Rhinolophus ferrumequinum: one gene and its partner. The protein of the gene in region 2 interacts with the protein of the main gene of each other region in a biochemical or structural test. Links are inferred from orthologs where the notes say so. Each region holds a gene or a part of one and is shown on either strand. Other genes may lie near its edges.

Region 1 (7,217 bases), on a different chromosome or scaffold from region 2:
GAGACCCCAACCCCCCTTACCATACAGCACCTCACTCCTCCCCGCAGGGAAACGGAGGCTCAGAGACAGTGAGCAAGTTGCCCAAAGTTAGAGCTTGGACTCAAAGCCAGGCTCCCGAACAGGGCTTCACCTCTCTTGCTCTGTAAAACAGGGCACTGACGGGACCGGCCACAAGGGCTGGAGCCTCAGAGGGCTGGATGAGCGAACACTTGCAAAGACTGAGAATGATTCCTGCACCTGGTAAGCACTCAACGAACACCTGCTACAGTGCTTTGTGTCATCACCACGTGCAATGCTAATTTAATCACACAAAACCCGGTTTTACATGAGGGAAACCAGAAATGGCAACTGGCATTCTTTGTGGAGGGTGGAGAAGGAACTTACTCCAATGCTCATACTCGTGAGATTCCCAAGATGCTCTCATGACTGCTTTCAACGCCCAATTACACAACCAACACCAAGACACAGTCTACAAAACAGAGGGTTTTTATTGTGCCAGATGCTGCATAACGGAGCGTGGGAAGGCCCCAGCCAGGGGCAGGTGAGGTGGGGTGACAGGGCCAGCCCCTTCTAGCGGATCCTGCTTGCAGGGTCCCTGGGGTGGAGATGGGGCTGGTCACCGGGGCTGCGAATGATGGAGTTGATCCAGTCGGCAAACTGCGCGACGGGGGCAAAGGCGTCTGGGTACAAGCCGGAGCCACAGCTTCCCCGGATGAAGGAGTCAATCCCATGGATCAGCCCGTTGCAGACAAGAGGCCCACCGGAGTCCCCCTGTGTGTGGAGCCAGACTAGGTGGGGAGGCTGGGCTTCCGGGGCTCCCCACCCACTGCCCTTCAGAGTTGGGAAGTCTTTCCCAGGGTCTGGCTGCAGTTCCACTTGCTGCAGTCTGGGCAGGAGTGAGGGTGGAGTGGTGAGGGGATGCGGGTACTTACGAAGCAGATGCCTGCCCGCCGGCGAGGCACCATTGTGCACACATTTGTGGGGCGGCAGAGGGATGTTACCACGGTCACGTTGAGCTCCTGCAGGACTCTGGGTGGTGGCCGGTTGGTGCCCAACCGGCCCCAGCCCATGGCTAGGCACTGCACCCCATTGCCCACGCCTTGGTCCTGATCGGGCAGCTGGGCCACCTGCACATTGGCATTGATGGTGGCTGACCCATTGAGCTGTAGTGGGCAGGGCAGAGGACAGGAGAGTCACACAGGGAGGTGGGCACCGGCCCTCCCCTTTCTGGGCCTCAATTTCCCCACATAAGGTCCCACCATGGTTCTGGGATTTTACGGAGTAGGCTGCCCACCCAGTGAGATGCTCCCCACCCTCAGTCTCAGTTTTCCCATCTCTGAAATAGGAACAACAACAGTGGCTCAGGGCGTCCCTGGATGTGTATTGAGAGGAGTAAACATACATACTCAATATAACAAGCTATGGGCAACACCAATGACAACGAAACCGTATTCTAAAACATTCCAGAGAATAATCATAACTCTGCCAGCAGTGGGGAAGGGAGGGTTTCTCCCTCCAGTTTCCCTTCAGCCCAGATGTGGGGAATTTTGCCATTTCACAAAGGCAGGAACAGTCCCTGGGCACAGGGCCATCAAACACAAATAATCATAACATTTTGTTGATTGACAACTAGATCTCTCTGTGTCTAGATCTCTCTGTGTCTTCTCGTTCACTCTCTCAACAGCTTTGCCAGGAGGGGCTTGTTTCCCCAGGTTACATGAGTGGAAACTGAGGCACAGAGACGAACTATCAAGTTAGAGCCGCATGTGACCTCCAGTGTTTCCGCTCTGTCTCTGCCCTTTCCAAGCCTTTGGCCCTGGGCCTTTGCACCTGCCGGTCCCCTGCCTGGGCATCACTTCCCACCCCACTGGCCTTGCACCTTCAGAATCACGATGTCGTTCAGCAGCCTCTCGGGGTCGAAGCCATTTTCAAAGACTTGCTGGATGGCAAACGACTGTTGGGTGGGCTCACGCTGCCCCAGGTTGTGTGCCCCCAGCACCGCCCGCACCCTCTGGAAGTTTCTATAGGCAAAATGGGTGCAGGAGGTGATTCGAGGTGGCCCCAGGCGTTGGGGGTAGCTGAGAGACTCCAGAGCTCAGCCAAGCCCGGCTCTACACCCAGGGGTAGCATCGCCACCCTGGGCAGATGCTTGGGCTCATTGGCTGAACGCCCCCACTTGGGCCTGGTAGGGGAGATGCGTTCATGGGGGACCCCTGGAGGAGCCTGGGCCCTGGTCTCACTCTCCCCCTTTGACAGATGTGGAAACAGAGGGTCTGAGAAGGGAAGACACACGGGGTGGCGAGGGCAGGGAAGGCGATCACTCACATGCCGTTCACACAGTGCGCGGCCGACATGACAAAGTTCGGGGCCACCAGGGTGCCACCGCAGAAGTGGCCTCCTTGCCGCTGCAGAGACACCATGAAGGGCCATGCGTGGGGCTGGGCCTGCCGACCACCCACGATCTCAGAGGCTAGCGCGGGACCTGGGGATACGTGGAGGCGGGGGTAGTGAGTGCCACGCAGGAGCCCCACCTGCTGAGCCAGTCAGCCCTTGAACTCTCACCAGGAACCCACAGATCAGGGCTCTTCATGTGCCAGATGAGGAAACTGAGGCACAGAGAGATAGGGGGCCTCCTACTGCCCCCTGCCAGGGCACAGCTAGATCTGGATTTAATTTGGCTTTGCAGTCCCCAGAGCATGCCCAGTGATGCCCCAGTTCAAACTCTGGGCTCTTCACCACTCTGGACCTCGGTCTCTTTCTCTGGAAACAGGTCTCCCCATCCCAGCCATCACCTCCCCATGAGGGTGAAGAGGCCACGCAGGTTTAGGGCACAGTGGAGAGGCAGGAATGGAGGCCGAGAGAGAGATGGACAGACATGTGGCCCCACTCACCGCCCAGCAGCATGGTCAGCAGGATGGAGGTGAAGGTAGGACCGGACGGTCTGCAGCTTTGGGTCATGGTCGGGCGGGGGCTTTGATGTCTGTGCACCCCCGTGCCCACCGGGCCTTCTTATGGCTTGATGCCTGGGACCGTTGCATTGCCCCACTTCCTTTCCCCACCTCCAGGACAAGGGCGATGATGGGAAGACAGTGGGGGTGGGGGGAGGGGGCGGCGTGAGGGGCCTGGGTTGGCTCCAGATAAAATTCAGGACACACAATTAAATTTGAAATCAGATAAACAATGTTTTTTAGTGTGTGTCCCAAATATTATACTTATTTAGGAACTTAGTCATTGTTTACCTAGCATTCAAGTTTAACTGGATGTCTTATATTTTTGCTAAATCTGGCAAGCCTAGGCCCAAAGGGCGTTGGCTGGTTTCCCCACTTGCCTTAGTTTACCCAGGGCACAGGGGTGATGGAGGACTGCTGGGTCCCACTTGAGAAGAGGAAACTGAGGCACAGCGAGGTGTTCCCCCATGAGTTCCTACACAGTGACACGGTGGGTAAGCTAGGCTTGAACCCAGGCCCCACAGTTTCCAGCTGGAGGGTGATTTGCTCCACCTTCCTCTTGGGGCTTGGCCTGCCAACCTCTCTTTGATTGTTGCCCACAACAGGGACTCCCTCCCACCCAGGGCCACATCAGTCTCTGGCTGCCAACAGACGTTCTGGGAAAGAACCCCTTCTCTCTGAGTTTTGCTGAACTCCCTTCCCTCCTGAAGTTGGAGAGCTTCTGCTGGGCCAGTGGAAGAATTCAATCCGAACAACAAGGCCCAACCCCCACCCCATGGCCTGGTTCCTCTTCCCACCTCCCCCAGGATGCTCCAGCTGCAACGGCCATAGCCAAGGCTGTCGCAAGAAGCAACGTTCTCCTGGCCCGGAGCAGGGTTCAGGGGAGGGAAACAACGGATCCATCGGCAGGAAGAGGCAGGCGGGAGCACCAGGGGTGCCCGGAACCAGAGCTGGAATCCTGTTCGTCCCTGGGTCGACCCCGATGCATGGCCACGAGCAAACAAACTCCCTTCTCTCTCAAGTAAGGATGACAGCACTGCGCTCCCAGACCCTGGCGCACAGCAAGCACTCCATGTCTGCCCTTCATTCCTCCCGTATCAACCAGTCCTACCCCGCTCCCTGCTTGGCAGGGCTCCCACCCAATTGCATTAAAGTTATCATAGAGCACTGAGTAAGCACCTGCTGGATACACAGTCCTGTTTCCAGTCCTGGAATGGGGGAGAGTGGAGGAAGCCATGTCTTTGGGGGAAGAGTGGCTCAGGCAGAAAGACCCCATTTAACCAAAGCTGCATTTATCGATCACCACCTGTATACTATGTTCCCACATCTCATGGTGGTCAAGCTTATATCCTGGTGTGGCCACTTGCCCACTACATAACTTCAGGCCACTGACTTAACTCTTCTGTGCCTCAGTTTCCTTTTCTGTAAAAGGAAAGTTATAATAATAGGCTCCATCACATAGGCTGTCCCAAGGATTAAATGAATGAACATTTGTAAAGATTTTGGATAAGAAAGTGATATCCTGGAGGGTTTGTTAGCCATTAACCACCTCCAGGAGGGCAGGATGGTGATTGTCTGGTGGGTATAGGCTAGGATGCGAACACTGGGCTTCTAATTTGCAATCAGAGTAGTGGCGACACTGGCGACACCCTTATAATGAGTCATGGAGCTTACAAGTAAGACGCGCGCATTTTTAGGTCTCAGTTACAGCCCAGTAAGAAAACAATGATTTGAGTGCCTTTCCCCACTGCTGGAGGCCTGGGGATCCCTGAGCTATAGGAAGCAACCCCGTACAGCTGTGGTCACCAGCAGCAGAGACTACCCCCACACCCTCCCCTCAAGGAATCCCTTTCACCCTGAGGCCTTCCAAGTGTGTGCTGATCATCCTGCTTGTTATTCCCATGGGCTTCTTTCAACAGCTCAGCTAACCTCTGGCAAATCCACCCAACACCTCCCTAAACCCCACCAATTCCCACTATTGGGTCTGGTCTCTGCTGTGTAGGGCTTCCCTGGGTCATCTTTCACACACATCAGCCCCAGAGAACCCTCCTGGCGGTGTTTTTGTTGGTCTTTCTGTTTCCAGCATTCCCTCTAGCAAAACTCTTCTACCCCCAACACTGTGGGCTTTTTATAGAAACCGCTTCCCCGCCTTGGGCCCCTGGGAGATGCAGGGAATTCCCAGCAGGGAATTCCCCTGACACTCATTAGCTTATATTTCCCAGGATTCATCCAGGTCCCCTGTCTCCGCACACATTTTCTCCTGGTGCTGCTGGTGTAAACCAGTCATAGCACCTACACTGGGGTGGTAACTGAGGTATAAAAGAGTTGCAGAACTGGGCAGGCCTGGGAATTCTCGTTCTTGCTTGTATTTTGTACGCTGCCACCAGGTGGTGGCAGAGTAAATCAATAACGAAAGATCCGCCTTCCAATTCCAGTGTGTCCCATGAGCAGTTTGGCCCCTCTCTCTGAGCCTCATTCCCATGGCCATTTGCCCACTGGCCAATGACCTCTACCGCTCCCTGCCTCAGGCCTCTCCTCTAGGCTTACCCCAGTTCATATCTGTGGTCTGGCATCCTCTATTCCCACCACCTCTCTGAACTCTCCTCCCCCACCACCTTGCCTTGCTCCATTCCAGCTGCAGTGCAGCCTTGCAGTCCCTCTGCCCTCGCTATGCCCCTGTCTGGGGGCCCTTCCCCTCCTGTTCCTGTTTGTGCATTGGCAGTCACCTCAGTCATTGCCGCCTCCTCCAGGAAGCCTCCCTAATGGCTGCTCTGCCTGCCTCTGACCGGGGAGGAGCCCCACAGGCCCCAGGCATTCTCTGTTACCACAGCCTGGTCTTCCAGCAGCCTCACCACACACCCCCAGCTGGAGACACAGAGCTGGAAATGACACCCCCCAGCCTTGAGGGTCAGGGTGAAGCTCCGTGGACAGTTCTGGGAAATGTCTGGGGTGACTCCCTTTTCCAGACAATGAAACTGGGCCACAGAGATGGACAGCAGCTTGCACAGGGCCATAGCAGCGGGGTTGGATTAGATCCCATGTCTGTGGGCATGGGAGGGTGGGGAGAATGCACTGTGACCTGAGCCCTCCACGGACCTCCAGGCCTTGGCTCCAAATCCCCATCCCGAGTCTGGGGTCTGGGGACTCACATGCTGGGGACACTCTCCCACATTCGCGACAGACACGAGCCAGAGGGGGGTTTCAAGTTTTATTGATGTCACCATGGGCTGAGCACCGGCCCCCTCCCTGTCCTGTTAGGGCTTGCTGTCTGGCCTCAGCCCTGGGGCATCAGTCTGGAAGGGGAGGCTCGGGGGCTGTCCTCGGCCCCCTGCGCTTCTCAACACGGATTGAATCCAGTCCACGTAGAGGGACACTCGAGCGAAGAAGTCGGGGTACTGGCGGGTAGCGCACTCCCGGATCAAGAAGGAGTCCACGGCCTGGATGACGCTGTCGCAGATCAAGGGGCCGCCTGAGTCCCCCTGTGAAGTGTGGGGACAGGTCACTCAGTCACCCAGGACTTGGCTACGTCAGGGAAAGGGTGGCTGAAGACGACCTAACGCCATTTACGGGTAAAATGTTTCCAGTCCAAAATTTTCTTTAGGACACGTGGACGAGAGAGGGAGATGAGGCCACTCTGGAAGACAGCAGGCGTTTCTTCCAGAGTGGCCTCATCTGTATACCTGGATCCCTGGATTGAGACTAGGCTAGTCACCCACACCTCCCCAGGTCTGAGAGGGCCCCAGGAAGGGACAGTCCCCAGACCTATGAGGGCCACCAGGTATGACCTGAGCGGCCCCCTCTGTGCCTGTGGGAGCTGAGGCTGTTCCATGGATCATCCTCTGAACCCTCACAATGGGTGTACCCTCCTTCCAGATGGGGAGACTGAGGCCCAGCCTGCAGCTGCTCAGTGAAGAGGAAGTGGATTCGAACTGCAGCCTACCACCCACCCTCCTTCCCCTGGGTGGCCGCTGGAGCCTCCTCTGCTCCAGGGCAGCTCCAGCCTCTAGGGAGGTCCCTCAAGCCATCCAAACGCGGTGTGGGGCACTGGGAGCTGAGCGGATACATACGAAGCAGATGCCAGCTTTGCGACGGGGAACAAAGGTGCACACATTATGTGGCCGGCACAGGAAGGTGACCACGGTGACATTGAGCTCCTGCAGGACGTGGGGCAACGGCGCACGGGTGCCCAGCCTGCCCCAGCCCATGGCCAGGCACTGAGTGCCGTGGGGCAGCTGCTGGTCCTGCTGGGGGAGCTGGGCCACCGCAACC
Region 2 (8,011 bases):
ATCCCCCTTGCTTCCCATCAGGTTCATGGGCTTTGCACCAAAGAGCTGTTCTGATTGTTTCAGGAAGTCCTCTTTGATGGGAAATCCTACACAGAAGCGAACACAAACTGTTCTCAGGGCTCCACAGCTAGCAATGATTCCAACTGGCTACCTGAGGCCAAGCCCACCTCCCTCACCCCATTCACCCCAGGGCACTACCGATGGAGCTCCCTGCCACCAGCACCTACCTTTCTGCAGGTACATTCTGGCAGCCAATCGGAATGCCCCAGGGTCCAGGTCTTGGCAGAGGTGGCTCAGCAGGTGGGGGAGGCAGGGCCCCGAGTCTGCATGCAGCGCCTGCTGCAACCTCTGCAGCGTTTGGTTCTGAGCACCTGGAGGGGACCACACGAGCTGTGGCCCAGGCTGAGATTCTTTCCCACCCCTACTGCCCACCCAGTCCCTCTTGAGTACCCACTATGAGCACGCCCGTGGAACCCCACACTGTCCTCCCAAGTCCACTGAACTGGCCTGAGTGACAGGCTCCCAAGTTCTACTTTCATCTCTGCTGCTGACCGTGTCAGTGACCTCACGAAAATGATCTCTTTCTGGACCTCAGTTTCCCACAATGACACCCTCCAGTCCAATGGAGACACTGTAGCTAACAAACTCTTGCATAAAAGTCACCAGAAACAGATCCCCAGGCCTAATCCCTGAGAATTTGATTCACAGAGACTGGAGGTGGGCCGGCATTTTTACCAAATGTCCAAGTGACCCCAGTGGAGGAGTAACTCCGGAGTAGTGAGTTCCTACTGGCCTCCCAGCTTTGCTGGTCTGGACGGGTGCTGCCACAGTACCTAGTGCCAGGTGAGACAGTGCCAGGGCCACACTCAGAGGCGACAGGATGAGATTGGGGCTGGTAGACCTTTGGGCCACCAGGGAGAAGAGATCTGTGGTGAAGGCCATCAGGGCCTGGGCCAGCCTGCGGGTCTGCTCCGGAGTTGGGGCCTTGCTGCAGTCTCCTGTGGCCTTCTGCAGGGCGCTTTGGCCACCAGACTCCTGCAGGGATATATCAGGGGTCAGTGGCGTTCAGGGGTCAGATCCAGGTTCTGTGCTGAATATCTCCTTCATAGCCTTGTGGCTGGGGACAGCAGGGCCTTTGTCCCAGTCCTGATAGAAGTCACACAGGCAATGGCATCCTGGGGACTGGATCCCTTCCTCTGGTCCCTCTCACCCTCTCCCTTCAGGCCTCAGCCTCATGACCACGCCCCCCAGTTCTCTCCACCCTGCTGATTGGACCTCCTCCCTCGGGCCCCGCCCACTCTTCCCCAGCCCCACCTGGTTGTACCTGGTTGCCCAACTTGAGGAAGCTAAGTAGGGACAGCTTCTCCTGGGTCTGCCCAATCATCGTCTGAAGATAGGAGAAAACAGATGGAGAGAGACCTTCCCACAGGTCCCCCACCCTGCAGAAGCCACAGGTGAAGCCCCTCAGGGCCTTCCTCTGCATCCTGTCCCCTCACTCCCTATTACCTGCTGGCCCCAGCGTTCCATGGCACTGGCTGGAGAGAACTGTTGAGAAAGGGATGAGGAGAGGAGGGGGGACCCCCCTCAGAGCCAAACCCTCCCACCGTCCAGCCCTCCTCTTCTTCCCCGTCAGACTTCTAGCCTCTCCCATGCCCACCTTCCCTCCCCACCCAGACCCAGACCAGCGCCCAGGCTCACCACCAAGTAGGGGCCTTGCAGGCAGGACAAGCTGAGTACCAGGAGCCCCCGGAGCAGCGCCATGTTCCTGAGAGGGACAGGAAGCCTCAGCGCCCACCTCGTCCCTCCCTACACACTATCACCAATTATCTGACTGGCCACCTGAGGCCAAGCCACCACACCCACCGTGGAATTCCACCCACCTGATCCCTGGCTGTCAGTCCTGAGCCATCACTGCTGAGGGGACAATGCCAGTTGCAACACACCCGCCCAAACACATTAGCTGTGGCTCTCAGTTCTGAAGGGTGGGATTTTCTCTCCTCAATTGTTTTTCCCCTCTTTGTGTTTTCTGGTTTTTCACATTTCATACACTGAAAATGTTTTGGTTCACAGGGGGAAAATATTATCAGAACAAAAAAAAGTCCTCATTCTTCAAGGACTGGCATTGTGAGTCAGACCTGGGTTTGAATCCAGATTCTGACTCTTGCCAGAGGAACTTGGACATCTCCCTTAACCCCTCCGGGCTTCTCCTTATCTTGTAAAATGATGGCACAAGTCCCGGCCTCCTCCCTCGGGCATTGTGAGGACCAAAATAAGATAGTCTTTGTGAGCCCCAGTACAATGCCTGGCACTCAGTCATGACTGTTGTCAGCCTAGTGCAAGGCCCCTCTTCTGAGAATCCTGCCCTTTCCTGGGGCTCCATCCCCAAAACTCATCTCCAACCTGCTATCCATCTGACCCACCTTTTCTGACTGGTCTGGCCCGTCTATGCCAACAAGGGTAGACGGGCCTGTGAGGCCCTGAGGTGTCAGCAGGGGTAGTGGGGTGGCGCGGAGAGCCACCTTGTTGACCTAACAGCAGCACCTAATGAATGACTTTGGCCAGAGCCACCTTTGGACTTATGGGAAACACTCTGCCCCAGGCTGGCTCCGGGAAGCCAGGCTGGCAGGAGGGGATGGGCAGGTCTTGGTTTAGCCTCAGGCAGGTCTCACATCACCCAGCCGCCATCTCGGGGCCAGTCTTTTTGGAGGATCCTTCTATCACCCCTGGCTGGACCCTCATCATACACAAGGGACTTTTGCCAGGGCCCTGATACCCAACCTGGGCTTTTGAATCTTCCTGTCAAGAAAATCCCTCCAGTTTTTCAAGTCCTAGAGAGACTCTTCCTGGGCCCCCCACCTTGGCCCCACATCACCCCAGGAGACTGAGAAATAACAGGCCCTCAGCCCAGACCCCCTTAGCCAGGTGGGCAGCTCCTACCTTCTCGCCTGCTCAAGAAGCAGGCAGAGCCACCCCTCCCCTCCTACCTCTGCCGGCTCCTCTCTGCTGAACACAATGTCCCTCTGGCCCCACTTGGGTGCTCCCCACGCTCTGCCCGGGCTCCAGCCAACCCAGCTGAGCCCTCCCCTCCCACCAGGACCTTTGCTCTCAGCCAACCCCTGTTCAGACAGCTTTCTCCTCTGGTAAATATTGACCTGCACATCCGGTTAAACATTGATATTGGGGCCGGAAGCCTGTTTCCCACCAGGGCATCTAATCCTGAGACCGCCACCTGGAGCCACATGGATTTGGGTCCCACCTGAGCCTGAAGAAAGGAAGTTCAGGAGACAGTGGAGGAGGCTGTCCTCATCTGGAGAACAGATCCAGGAAGGACAGAGGTGGGGGGTTATCCCGGCTTTAGTCAGGCTCAGAGAGGCTATGTGATCCGCCCAAGGATACAGAGCTGGACTCAGAGTTACATCCAGGTTCCCATTTCCAATGTCCTTTCCTCTCCCCCACAACTGCTTCCCCCTCCTGAGGGGAGGGAAGGGGAAGCTATAGATAGGAGCCTATGTAGGGAACCCAGGGTAGGATGCCCATACCAAGCCTTACATGTCGCGTATCCTGGTTGGCTGCCTTCAGCCTGAGTCCAGAAGGCAGGGGGTGGGGAGAGACGCTGAGGGACACAGCCTCTCTCAGCTTCCTACCTCACCAGGAGCAATGTCTCCTTACCCTCCCCAAGGATGAAGGTTCTGGAAACTGGCTTGGGGCTACACGAATGAGAAGCCCTGTCCCTGTGCTGCCTGAAGAGCAATGATCAGGCTGCCTCCCCAGCTCCTGCCCTATCCTCACCCTCTCCTCATTGCCCTGCAAGCTGCAGGATCTCAACTTTTCCCCACCTGACACCACCATCAAGAGAAGCCTCACTCAGTTCCATGGCTCTTCCAAAGGATTTATTGGTCATATTTACATCTATTGCAAATAGTGAGGAGACAGCAGGGGCCCAGTCCCAGACCTCATCTCTGCTCCAGAATGTGAGGACCTGGGGACGGCAGGGTCTTCCTGTCCCTTGGGAGATATCTGAGATGCAGAGATGGAATTCTTCTCACCCCTTCTCTCAGGGTCTTGGATTTCCCCTCCCCATGCTCGCCGGAGTTCTGGGCCCATGGGCTGCCTCCTCGGCTCAAGGCACAAACACTGTGGTTAGGGGTGGGCAGGCAAGGCTGGGTCACTCCTGCCAGGCACCAGCTAGCCTAGTCCATCGTCCCTCCCCTGGTCCTGACCTCTTTTTTGTCCTACTGGTCCCACACTGGACAGGACCTGGCTGGGTGGACACTTAAACCTCAGCCCAAGGCCCTTAACTCCTGGACCATGGCCAGCCCTCCTCAGAGGCTAGAGCCCAAGCACCATGGGGTCCTGGACTGGGGAAGTGCCCCTGTCCTTGGGGGACAAGGATAGAGAGAGCCCAGCAAGGGGGAGGGCTTGGCTAGAGACTGGGTGGGCAGGGCCAGTCTCCCCTCCCCTTCCCAAGCCTCCCTGTCCCCATGTGGATCCAGAGGGCAGACCTGGGGAGAAGAGAGCGCTGCGATGCTTTCCCAGCTCCTCCTCTTGCTCCCTGCTGGCTAGGAGCAGCACCTCCCCAAGCCGTGAATGAGATCAGCCTCGGTGGCTCTGGGGGTCAGGAACCCAGATCCCTACCCTGCCGTAGCTGGCAGGCCATGTGGGTGGGTACACAGGGCATGGGGTGAGAGGCTTGCATGAAGGGGGTCAGTGGGGAAACAAGGGTAGGGGGGTGGACGACCGGAGGGTGTCTGCCCAACAGGGCCTGGCCAGCTCCCGCCTCAGCCTATGCCAGGAGGCGGATGACTCCATTGTCTGAGCCCAGCAGGAGGTGGCGTTTGGTAGGCAGCAAGGCCAGGCTGGTGAGTGTGCCACGGAAGTTCTCGGAGCTGAGCTTGGTGGTGGCCTGGGAGGGCGGCTCAAGCAGGGAGCAGACGCCAATCTTGTTGGCCACGGTTCCGGTGACCACCTCGCTGCCATACAGGTCGAAGGTGTGAATAGGGTCGGACGCCGACTTGTAATGGTGTGTGGGTTTCTGTTCCAGCTCCTTCCAGACGGTCAAAGAGTGGTCAGAGGAGGAGCTGACCAGGATGCTGCCTTCCACCGCCTGCTCAGGGAGAGGAGAGCCTCAGCAGGGCCTGGGCCTCCCGGGTGCCCACCAAGCCTCAGGGTCTTCCTGTTTCCTCCCAGAAAGACCGGCATCGTGAGCAGTGGACAAGCTACCACCCTCTCACACTATGTTAATGTTAGTTAATATGACTATATCAATGTGTCACTCACTATAGTTGGAATACTTGCTATATTCAGGCCTTGTGTTAGACAGGCCACGTTACCACGTTACCTTTTCATCTTTGTAACAACTCTATGAGGTAGATGCTGTCAGTGTTCCCATTTTACAGAGAAAAACTAAGGCTCAGAAAAGTTAAGTAAATCATACCAAAGTCACAGAGGCAGTAAGTGGCAGAGCCAGGATTAATACCCAGGCTGACCCCAGGGACCTCCTGAATAGTCAGGATTGGAAAGTCAGAAATGAGAGGCACCTGGAGCCCAGGGGCTTCTGGGGAGTCCCGGAGGGAGTCCAGGCAGCCTGCCCCCCGCAGTGGCAGTGCACGTCCCCTGGCCTCCACTTAGGATGGGGAAGGAGTCCCAGTTGCCTGGAAAAATTATCCCACAAGTAGCCCTGTGTCTCACCTCCTATGCCTCCCTGAGGTCTGTGATTAAGAAAGGAGGGGGTAGGGGGGAAGCGGGAGGATGCCCATGCCCAGTCTGTCCCTGCCCCCACCAGGGCAGCCCAGCAGGGGGTATGGACTCTGCTCAGTGGTCTGGGGGCAGTAAACATCCTCCCAGCCGAGCTTTATTTAACCTGAATTGGGTCACGGACAGGACCCGACCCCTGATCCTCCAAGCAAGACAAATATGGACAAGGGTTACTCATTAGAACATCTCCAGGGAGTAGCAGGGTCAGCTCGGCCCCCTGGGGCACGCCCCCATGGCCTTGCTCCTGCCAAGTGCCCACAGTGCACCTGGTTCCTGGCCCTCCCTTACACTTGCCCTTGGGCAGGTGTCAGGGAGATCAGCTTAAGCCTGTCCAGAGGTGGGAGCCCAGAGCAGTGGGGAGGGGAAGGGAATCCGGTCTGTTACCTTGATCTGCAGGATGTCCCCTTCATGGGCAGGCCAGCCACGCAGAACCAGGCCTGTACGGGTGTCCAAGAGCACCATGAAACCCGAGGAGAAGCCAGCCACGACACTGCGGCCACTGGGGCTAACAGCCAGGGAGCGGACCAGCCCAGGGTTCAGCCCTCCGCCCAGGCGGAACTCATGCTGCAGGCAGAGGGAGACCAAGTGAGATGCCACCACCGGCTGCAACCCGCTTCTCTCTGAGGTCCTGCTCAGCCCCCAGGTCCCCACAGCTGGAAGGCCTGAGCCTCTGTCCCCCATCGAGGGGAGAGCGCCTCCCTTCACAGGCCAGAGTCCCATCCCCCAGGGTTTGCTGCTGTGGGTGAGCTGTCTCCAGAAAGAAACAACGCCCTGGCCTTCTCCCTTTGAGGTCCCTCCCCACTGCCAGGCACTTAGGCCAGGACTCAGGGGACCAGACTCCCCTGACCTGCAGTCCGGGCTTCCTGCAGTCCACAAAGCGCAAGGTCGAGTCGGAGCTGGCCATGGTGATGCTGGTGTGGGGGGCAGGCATGACAGCCACGGCGGTCAGGGGCACCCGGCTGTCCGATGGCTCCACCGTGCGAAGGGTCTTCCCTGAGAAGAGAAGGTGCAATGGATCTGAGGTCCCAGCAGCTGACGGAAGAGCCCCGACTCTTCATATCCCCGACCTACCCAATATCTGCCTCCCATATCCCAGAGAATCGCAGAAAATGCTTGATGTTTCTTGACCCTCCCCCCTTCCTGCTTCCATGGCCAGGCCAGGTTCCTGTCCCCAAAGCAACCTCCTCTCTTCACACAGCACCCTCTGACTGAATTCTATCTCCCTCTGTCTACCTCAGTGCTACTCTATCCCCTCCCCCTTTTCAGCTTTATTTCTCCCTCCAATAATGGCAAAAACTAATGGAGCAACAATTTACCAAACATGTACTGCATGCCACCTGTTAAAACAAGCCCCTACATGCATTAATTCCTAAACCAGTTGCTCTGATTCCCATTTTATAGGAGGGCAAACTGACGCTTCCAGCAGTGACGGGACTTGCTCAAAGTCATTCATCAAGTAAAGGTGGCAGAGACAATTCAAACTCAAGGTCTAATGGATTCCAAGTTCTAACTGCTCCTCTGTGTGGCCTCCCTGGGTCACCCCAAACCACACACCGTGATACCCCAACCACCCCACCCTTGAGCCCCATTCCCAGAGGCCCGGTGGGGTAGAGGATGGCAGTCACACACAGGCCTCACCTGGGCCCGCTCACCTGTGAAGGGGTCCCACACGTGCACAGCCCCGTCACAGCTCACTACGCACTGCGGGGCCTCCAGCTGGCCCACAAAGAAGACGCTCTTGCGGTGCTGGGCGTAGATGAGGCGTGGGGCCATCTCGCTGGTGCCGTCCCCAGAGTTGTAGAGCGGCCAGAGGCGCACGGTGCGGTCCTTGCTGCCACTCAGGAAGAAGTCCTCACTGCTCAGGGGCGCCACACACTTGACGGCCCCCGAGTGGCCCGGGAAGCTTTGCAGGCGGATTTGGTGGAAGTGAAAGTGGGCGTCCTGCTGGCTCACGCCAATCTCGTACTGCCAGTACGCCAGCCAGTTCCCGCTCAGCCCGTGGGCGCTCCGTGGCAGCTCCCGCTTCAGCGCATTGTCCTCGCTCTCACTGCCAAGGCCCCCATTGCCCACCCCAGAAATGGGGCCCAGCGGGCCGGGGCTCTCAGGCTGAGAGTCATCGGGGATCTGGATGCGGTTCCCGACCAAGACACTCCCAAAGGTCCCCGAGTGGCTGTCATCCTGAGGGCAGCCCCCACCCTGGGGGTCTGACTCAGGGCCTGTGCTTGGCATGGTGGGCTCCACGCTGGCAGGGTTGCGA

Evidence for each region. The genes of interacting proteins can lie anywhere in the genome.
Region 1: of the proteins of SERPINF2 (region 2) and ELANE, one has a biochemical effect on the other in vitro, tested with the Homo sapiens proteins (2 studies listed by BioGRID). The link is inferred for Rhinolophus ferrumequinum from reciprocal best matches to the Homo sapiens genes SERPINF2 and ELANE.

Annotation. Positions count from the first base shown.
Region 1 is NC_046301.1:62,057,723-62,064,939, forward strand, and holds ELANE (neutrophil elastase), read right to left. Parts: upstream 3,048-7,217; 5' UTR 2,959-3,047; coding exon 2,892-2,958; intron 2,483-2,891; coding exon 2,326-2,482; intron 2,022-2,325; coding exon 1,880-2,021; intron 1,164-1,879; coding exon 933-1,163; intron 772-932; coding exon 571-771; 3' UTR 469-570; downstream 1-468. Other genes in the region: PRTN3 (myeloblastin), read right to left, coding at 6,203-6,427, 7,016-7,217. UniProt on the Homo sapiens protein: Serine protease that modifies the functions of natural killer cells, monocytes and granulocytes. Inhibits C5a-dependent neutrophil enzyme release and chemotaxis. Promotes cleavage of GSDMB, thereby inhibiting pyroptosis. Promotes blood coagulation.
Region 2 is NC_046304.1:16,210,208-16,218,218, forward strand, and holds the start of SERPINF2 (alpha-2-antiplasmin), read right to left. Parts: upstream 3,092-8,011; 5' UTR 2,985-3,091; exon of another isoform or gene 2,938-2,984; intron 1,766-2,937; 5' UTR 1,762-1,765; coding exon 1,699-1,761; intron 1,546-1,698; coding exon 1,507-1,545; intron 1,388-1,506; coding exon 1,325-1,387; intron 1,036-1,324; coding exon 834-1,035; intron 372-833; coding exon 228-371; intron 87-227; coding exon 1-86. Other genes in the region: WDR81 (WD repeat-containing protein 81), read right to left, coding at 4,784-5,104, 6,139-6,318, 6,602-6,747, 7,407-8,011.